Linked DNA regions of Macaca mulatta. The main gene of each other region encodes a partner of the protein of the gene in region 2 in a complex. Links are inferred from orthologs where the notes say so. Each region holds a gene or a part of one and is shown on either strand. Other genes may lie near its edges.

Evidence for each region. Proteins that work in one complex are often made in the same cells at the same time.
Region 1: the proteins of SCAP (region 2) and INSIG2 are in contact, whole or in part, in a cryo-EM structure (PDB 7ETW), measured with the Homo sapiens proteins. The link is inferred for Macaca mulatta from reciprocal best matches to the Homo sapiens genes SCAP and INSIG2. Residues at the interface, in NP_036367.2 of Homo sapiens: Pro200, Ser206, Val282, Ala283, Glu284, Ile286, Pro287, Thr290, Ile294, Ala297, Tyr298, Phe301, Lys305, Tyr351, Val354, Val355, Glu359, Thr409, Leu410, Val411, Ser638, Tyr639; in NP_001308258.1 of Homo sapiens: Phe41, Val45, Leu48, Leu49, Ile51, Val55, Leu57, Phe58, Pro59, Val62, Ser65, Ile66, Glu104, Trp105, Ser106, Met109, Arg110, Val112, Ala113, Val114, Val116, Gly117, His120, Gln132.

The regions. Positions count from the first base shown.
Region 1 is NC_133417.1:19,426,372-19,430,376, forward strand, and holds the start of INSIG2 (insulin-induced gene 2 protein), read right to left. Parts: upstream 2,801-4,005; 5' UTR 2,765-2,800; intron 1-2,764. UniProt on the Homo sapiens protein: Oxysterol-binding protein that mediates feedback control of cholesterol synthesis by controlling both endoplasmic reticulum to Golgi transport of SCAP and degradation of HMGCR.
Region 2 is NC_133407.1:110,783,496-110,786,995, forward strand, and holds part of SCAP (sterol regulatory element-binding protein cleavage-activating protein), read right to left. Parts: intron 3,364-3,500; exon of another isoform or gene 3,330-3,363; coding exon 3,109-3,329; intron 2,926-3,108; coding exon 2,820-2,925; intron 1,843-2,819; coding exon 1,670-1,842; intron 1,299-1,669; coding exon 1,172-1,298; intron 1-1,171. UniProt on the Homo sapiens protein: Escort protein required for cholesterol as well as lipid homeostasis.

The DNA of each region.
Region 1 (4,005 bases), on a different chromosome or scaffold from region 2:
TTATTATCAAGTACTCAAAAAAGTCCATGATCCAAAGTAAAGAATCAGTAATCTAACAGTTCTCTCACTCTACTTGCAAGGCCAATGACATGCAAAGTGGTCAACTGGAGTAACAAGATTAAGACAGTACCATCAGTTCTTATTACCACAAACATGCATAGTGAATGCCCGAAAATGACCAGACTCATCAAAGGGATAGAGGCTTCCACAAAACCATTTCACCCCCTACCATGCAACAATGAAATTCCTTTAAAAGGATGTTTATGATACCAGTTGCACACTAGAGGAGTGGATTATTTTCAAGGGAAAGTAAGCTCCCTTCGTTTATTTTGAAGTTTGTTTTTCTGATTATGTACTGATACCATTTTCTTCAAAGTGGTTCTATATCTTTAAATATTAGTCTTACATTAATGATAAACTTGAGGTTCCAAAATTTTTTTAAAAATCTATATTTGAAAACTTTAGATTACTTGACAAATAATTTGCTGACCAGGGAAGAAGTCTCTGGTATAAAGGTACTGTTTAAAGGACAGTATCTCCATAGATTCTTGAAAACAACCCTGGTAAATAGGCAGGTGCTGTTAGTTCCCATATTACGAAATAAAATAGGTTAAGTAACTTTCTAAGATCACAGAACTGTTACCAGGTAGCACCAGGACTAGGCCCACCCACTCTGACCCCATGTCTAGAGTTCTTTCTGCTTCACCACATTGCTTCCATTCACAAACATGGTACAAAACAATTTAAGTGCCACACAAGAAACCGTTTTTAAAATCATGTTGGTAAACTACCAAATACCAAAATAATGTTTTCAACAATTCACAAAGAAAAACTTTCCACTAAACTTGAAAAATTCTACTTTGAGCCCTGGCCTAAAATTTCTGGAAAGTACAATACTAAACAGAAAGAAAAATAGTTCAAATAATTTGCATAGATCAGTGATGAATCATCAATACTGGAAAAACATTAATCCAGGTGTATGGCTGCCTACTAATGGATTGATATTATTACTTTTAGGTTAAAAAAAGAGTTATAAGTGATTATGAGCTTTGTGAATAAAAATCAAAGTTCATGTTGGCCACTGAAACAACTTAGAGGCAACAAGCGTTTGAAAACAAACACACATACAAAATATTCCAGTAACCTTAAGAACCTGTTGCATTGCAACAACTGCAACACCCCCTAAAACCAAATGACAAGACCATTCTTTTTCCAATGATTAGCAGTAAAAGAAATATTTTTACTCCCTCAGATAACCCTGTCTCTTCGGGTGCTTAGGTCACATAAGCTACTAAACAATAAAGTGGAATTACTACCTCAAATATTTTTCATCATATGCTCTCTTAATTAGAATAGCATTCTTGAAATAGGATAAGCACTAACATTAGAAAAAAACATACTTAAATCAATGAAACAGTTTAATTCTCCCTAAATAAAAACATATCTACATGTATCCTGGGCTAGAGACGTTAAAAATTTCTAGGAAGAAAAGAAATATTTGCCTTAGAAACACTGCAACTCTTTCCTCTCAACATTAAAACCCAAACACAGAAACCAGTAGGCTAGCTGCATTCACATTCCCTTACAGCTTTTAAATGTCATATCTCAGTGCCTAAAAAAGTTACTCCATCGTTTTAAGTTTCTGAACTAAGAAAACTGTCTTTAAACTACTGAACTGCATTTTATCCTTTCCTTTCCCTGTGACCATCTGCAAAAGCAACAGTTGTCAGTTAAACAGAATCAACCTCTTTCCCAAAGGTACATGATTCACAGCCTGGTCACTGGATAGCAGACATGAACCGATAACTGTGACATAACACAATGATAAAACACAGTACTGAGCAAGAGAAAACAGGAAGGGTACACGTCTAATTTCCGTTTTCTTTGGGGTCCCCATTAGTAGCATTCCCTTCATCTATCTTCATTCAGTGGTTCACTATCAGGGCCAAACCCAAAAGTTACAAAACACCATCTAGCTACTGTTTGGCTGCTTTTATTTTTTCTGCACCAGGACTGGAGCACGCATTCCCCTGCAGTCCTCAGCTTCACCGCAATACTGATACCAAACAGTTTCAGCGGCCCAGCTGCCAAGCCTAACCATTCGTTTTTAAAGCAGTTCTTCATCAATCCTACAAAACAGCAAGTTCTTCATGGTATATTTTCCTAGAGTATCTAGCTAATATCATACTTTTAACAACTTTTTCCAACGTTAACTGGACACGGTGTTAGCACCATTGCTCGCGCCCACTCCCATAATCCACACTGCTTTCCTTCTCCATATTGCCAATCCCCACTAAACAACCGTAAAATCCAGTAACTATCATCAAATCCACTTCCAGGCCCTGGCAAGAATTCTTTGGCTTTACCGAAACACCTATTCCATAGGTAACCAATTCCAGTCCAAAATGCCAGAGTCCTACTCCTCAACCCAATGCCCTATCTTTTGAGTGGATTATAACCTGTCTTCTTGGGATCCAACCCCGGCCCAAACCTGAGTCTTCTCTCCCAGGTTACAAGCCCCCAAGTCCTGGCAGCTCTATGCTTGACAGCTCGCTGACCTCCACCTCATCAGACCTCTGGCTCGCCCTTCCCGCCGTCCTCCAGACTTCTTCCCGCTCAGACACTCATCCACTGCCCGAGGAGCCTGGACGCCTCCTATGACCCCTCCCCGATCCCGCAGTCCCCTTCTGGACCTCGCGGACCCCTCTCAGGTAAGCGGAGCCTCTTGCCCTGCAGGCCCATCAGTGGTCCTGGCTCCCCGCACCTGCCACCAGGGTTCCCAGGCTGCAACAACACAAGTAGTTCTTCTTCCCGAGGGCCACCCTCCTCCTCAGGCCGCTCTCCTCAGCACCACGTCACCCGCGTTTCGCCGGGAGACCCCCTACTCACCCCCGCCTCCGCCATCTTCTGGGACCAGCCCCCGTACTCCCCACCGCCTCTTCCTCCTCCACTCCCACAACTCCGCCCGAGCTCCACTGCGCCTGTGCGGCCAACGAGGCCGCGCGCAGGCGATCGGGGCAAAAGAGCTTCCGGTTCCTGCTGTCAATAAAGGGTGGACCTGCGAGCCGGGGCAAAGGGGCTTCCGGTCTGCGGGAGACTGGAGGCTAGCGGTGGGCGTGGACCGTCGAGGTGACTGGCGGCTGTCGGATCAGCTGTTGTTTGCTGACCAGGCAGCCGTGGGTAATGACGGATGCCCAGACCCTGTGGGCGGAGTAAAGGAATCATGCACTGATACACGCACACTCACCGAGAGGCGCGGCCGTCTGCGTGCCCCTCATCTCGTAGCCGAGAGGAGCGCGCTCCGGGGCAGGCCTCCGAGTACTTCCCGCAGAGGACCGGGCTTTATACTGCTCCTTTTCCTCCCCTAGTAAGTCATAACTTAATTTGGGAGAAGAGCATAGTAATTTGTCTCTCGTCTCCATGCTACAGCACTTTATGTGCTTTTCATTTAAAATCGTTCCTCGAGGACGACCAAGTAACGTGATTTGGGGGACAGTTTTCATAGGAAGGACTTCATAAGTTTACACCAACATAGAGAAAATTTAAAAACCTTATAATTATGTGTCAGAAGTATTATTTTTCACTTAATCTAAAACCTTACTTTTAGAACATGAAACCAAGCCAAACGGGTCTTTGGAGATTGTGCAAGCGAACTTCTTTTTTTTGAATGAAAGTGGTGCCGTCAGTGCAAAAGCAAGCCCATATAAGTGCCGAAAGGTACTCGTCATAAGGAGGAGTTGCTTCCCTATTCTGAATTTTTATTTATTTATTTATTTAAGACGGAGTCTCGCCCCATCACCCAGCCTGGAGTGCCCTGGCATGATCTCGGCTCACTGCAACCTCTGCCTCCCGGGTTCAAGTGATTCTTCTGCCTTAGCCTCCCCAGTAGCTGGGACTACAGGTGCGTGCCTCCACGCCTGCCTACTTTTTGTATTTTTAGTAGAGATGGGGTTTCACCATATTGGCCACGCTGGTCTCAAACTCCTGACCTCGTGATTTGCCCAC
Region 2 (3,500 bases):
TCAGGGAGAGCTGTGCAGCGCCACTGCTAGACCACACTTCTCCCTGCCCTTCCCAGGAGGACTGCTGGCTAAAGACAATGACTGCTGCCAAAACCCACGCCAGTAACTCTGGGTGGATCCATCACAGCTAAATACGCAAGGAGATGAAACCACCCTGAAGGCCCACTCACCTTTGTTGAGAAGCTGTGTGCGGAGAACAACTGTTCCTACAGAAAGCTCTACCAGCTATCTGAGCCCACCGTCCCACACTCCCCGCGGCAGAACCTACGAAAGTCTATGTGCGAGGAACGCCAGCTGAGTTATAACTTGCGGGACCTCTGCTTTGGAGCCGAAGGAAGGGAGGGCCCCTGTAGAGGGTACGGCAGACGGTATGGGAGGGCGGTGTTTAACACCATCAGGCTCAGGAAAGGGAGCAGGTATCTAAGAGCAAGGAAACTACCAGAAACAAAACACGACGTCGATTTTCATACGACCAGCCTGACGGTCCAAGGTGGGGGACAGGCCAATCCATAATCCATTAATAACCATTAACAGACAGGCAGGTGGGCCTATCCAGAGCCAAGATCAAAGCCTGAGGACAAGCCAAGGGAAGGGCTTCCAGACTAAGGTTCAGAGAGGAGCGGCAAGGGGAAAGTAAACATCGGTGGAAAAGGCAACAAATTACAGTGTGCTCATATCTTCCAAAGAGCTTCCTCTAAAATGACCTATTTCATTAGGCATTTAAATGTTCTAATTACGAAAAAAAAGAAATGTTCTCTATCTCACACCTCCAGTGGCTTAAGCCATCAAGCTGCAGTGTGTGTGCGGTGTGTGTATATAGAATATATAAACACAGATGCACAAATCCGACTACACACATGCAATACATACTCATGTATACACAAACACACATACCAACACACACCCCATATATACACACCCAGCCCACAAATACACACTTCTGTACCTATGGACACTCACTATAGCTAGATATGCTATATACAAACACTAGTATGAATACAAGCCAGACAAAGAAGAGGAAGAAAATATACCTCTTAAATGTCAAAAACGACAATGTGAAGACGTGAGGTCACAGCAAACACCCAGTCCAGGGAAGGCCAAGTACCCAGAAGTGCAAGGCTCTCTGGCCTGAGCCCACCCTGTGGCCCAGTGGAGCCTGCTGGGGACCTACCCGCCATTGAGGGTGGGCGTCAGGCCGAAAAGTGTGCAGAGTCCCACAGACATGAGCAGCGAGCTGAGCACTGTGACCACGGCGGCCAGGGCCAGCCCCCACTTGGACTTGACCATGTCGATCTTCCCTGGAGGGCAGAGAGGGCACATCAGGGCAGCCCCTCCCACAGGGGCTCTCGGGAGTAGGTTGCCCTGACAGTTGAGGAAGGGAAAGCTCCTGGTTTCACCAAAGGAAAGGGATAGGCACAAGTACTTCCCAGTGTCATGGACATAGTACACCTTTTAGGAACCCTAACCCAGGAAGGGGCTGAAAGTGAGAAGAGCCCCGGACCCACCCAAGCTCCTAAGACCCTGCTGGGGGATAAAGCCCTAGCTCTGACGACCAGCAGGTGTGTTCTATCTCTCTACCCCAAGCCACCTCCAGAGGCAGGGAAGCAGGTGACATGGAAATGCCCGTTTAGCTTGGAGAAAGCTCCCGGTCTCCCTGCCATGAACCTACGCGTGGAGAAGTAGATGTAGGCAAACAAGATGATGTAGGTGGTCACAAGGGGGATGAGCTCAGCGACACCAATCTCCTCCTTGAAGTGCACGTGGACCAGGCTCTCCGCCCGAAGGCTGCAGTTGGGGCTGGGGTGCAGAAGCATCAGGCGGGCACGCAGGCTGCCCAGGAACCTGGTCAAGGAGTAGGGTGGGGGTAGATGGAAGTGTTGCCCTTGGTTCCGGGGACAAAGACAATCCTTGGACAGAGAGTCCATTAGGACCTCCCTCCTGCCCCTGTGTTGGAAGGGAACTCCTCTCTGGTGCCTGGGCTTCTCTGTAGTCTCCAGGGGTGCTGGGAAAATCACAGAGGGGCAAAGTTTTCTCAGGAACCCCTCCTGCTCCTTTCTCAGCTTCCCTTTCCGGACCTACTCTACACTCACTTTTTATTTATTTTCCTATTTTATTTTTTGAGACAGAGTCTCGCTCTGTCGCCCAGGCTGGAGTGCAGTGGCGAGATCAGGGCTCACTGCAAGCTCTGCCTCCCGGGTTCACGCCATTCTCCTGCCTCAGCCTCCGGAGTAGCTGGGACTACAAGCGCCCGCCACCTCGCCCAACTAATTTTTTGTATTTTTAGTAGAGACGGCGTTTCACTGTGTTAGCCAGGATGGTCTCGATCTCCTGACCTTGTGATCCGCCCGTCTCAGCCTCCCAGCGTCTGGGATTACAGGCGTGTGCCCCCACGCCTGGCCTCCAACACTCTTGATTACCAAAGACCCAGGAGAGGCGATCAGAAGAACCTCGAGTGCCGTTGCCAGTTGGGGAGGTGCCTGCAGTGCCTCACTGGGAAGGACTCAGGCCATACAGGGCTCACTAGCAACCAGCTGGGGATGCCTGCCCTAGGCTCAAGAGAGACCAGAGGAGGCACCAGGACACTGAGACTGCCAGCCCTGCCTTAGTCCCCTATGCTTAACCAGCTGTCAGGTCATCCCCATTAAAATGTGGTAGACAGTATCATCTAGTGTAAGGGATGTAAACATTTCAACAGGAGGCCTGGAAACTCTCCAAGTTTCCAGCGGGGCATTCAGAACACTCTAACCAGAAGAGGGACTACTCAAAGCCTCATGTCACCCAGCAGACCAATCAAGAGCCCAGGGTGCTGTCAATCTTACTTGGCATGGTAGCGCTGGAAGACCAGGGTGATGGTGTAGGAGACCATCCTCTTCCTGGTGTAGAGGCTCACCCCGCTGTACTTCCCGGGAACACCAAACAACAAGTCTGCAAGTAGAAACCAGCAGGTACTGACAAAGAAATGACAGCTACCGCAGAGCCACCAAGGACCCCTTTTTCACCCCCACCCTGGGAACAAAGGGTAAACCCTTATCTGCCTAAGTACACATCAAAAAGACAGTGACCAATGGGCACCCTTGCAGGTCTGAAGGGAACTTGTACTGCGGCTACCTTTGAGTGTGGCTGAAGTCTGCAGGGTTTTAGGCTCGTGCTGGTGGATGGTCCCAATGATGTCAGGATCAGCATGGAAGCGTTCCCGGTCATTCTGCCAGAAATTCCCAGGGGACAGCAGCAGGCATCCATGCTCAGGGAGTAGGTCCCTGAGCTTCCTGAGGCCTGGCAGCAGGTCGGTCACTTGCAGACACAACTCCTCCAAGCTCCTGGTCCCAGAGCTGCACAGGAGACAGGACAAGGAACCTGCTGTGTCTGCCACCACAGGGCAGATCTGCGGTACTCAGGGGACGTCCTCTGTCTGTTCTTCAATACCCCATATTTGCTCTCTAGTAACGCCAAAGAGCCTGACCACTAGGGCAGCAGGGGAAAGTACTTCCAGGTGGCCAATA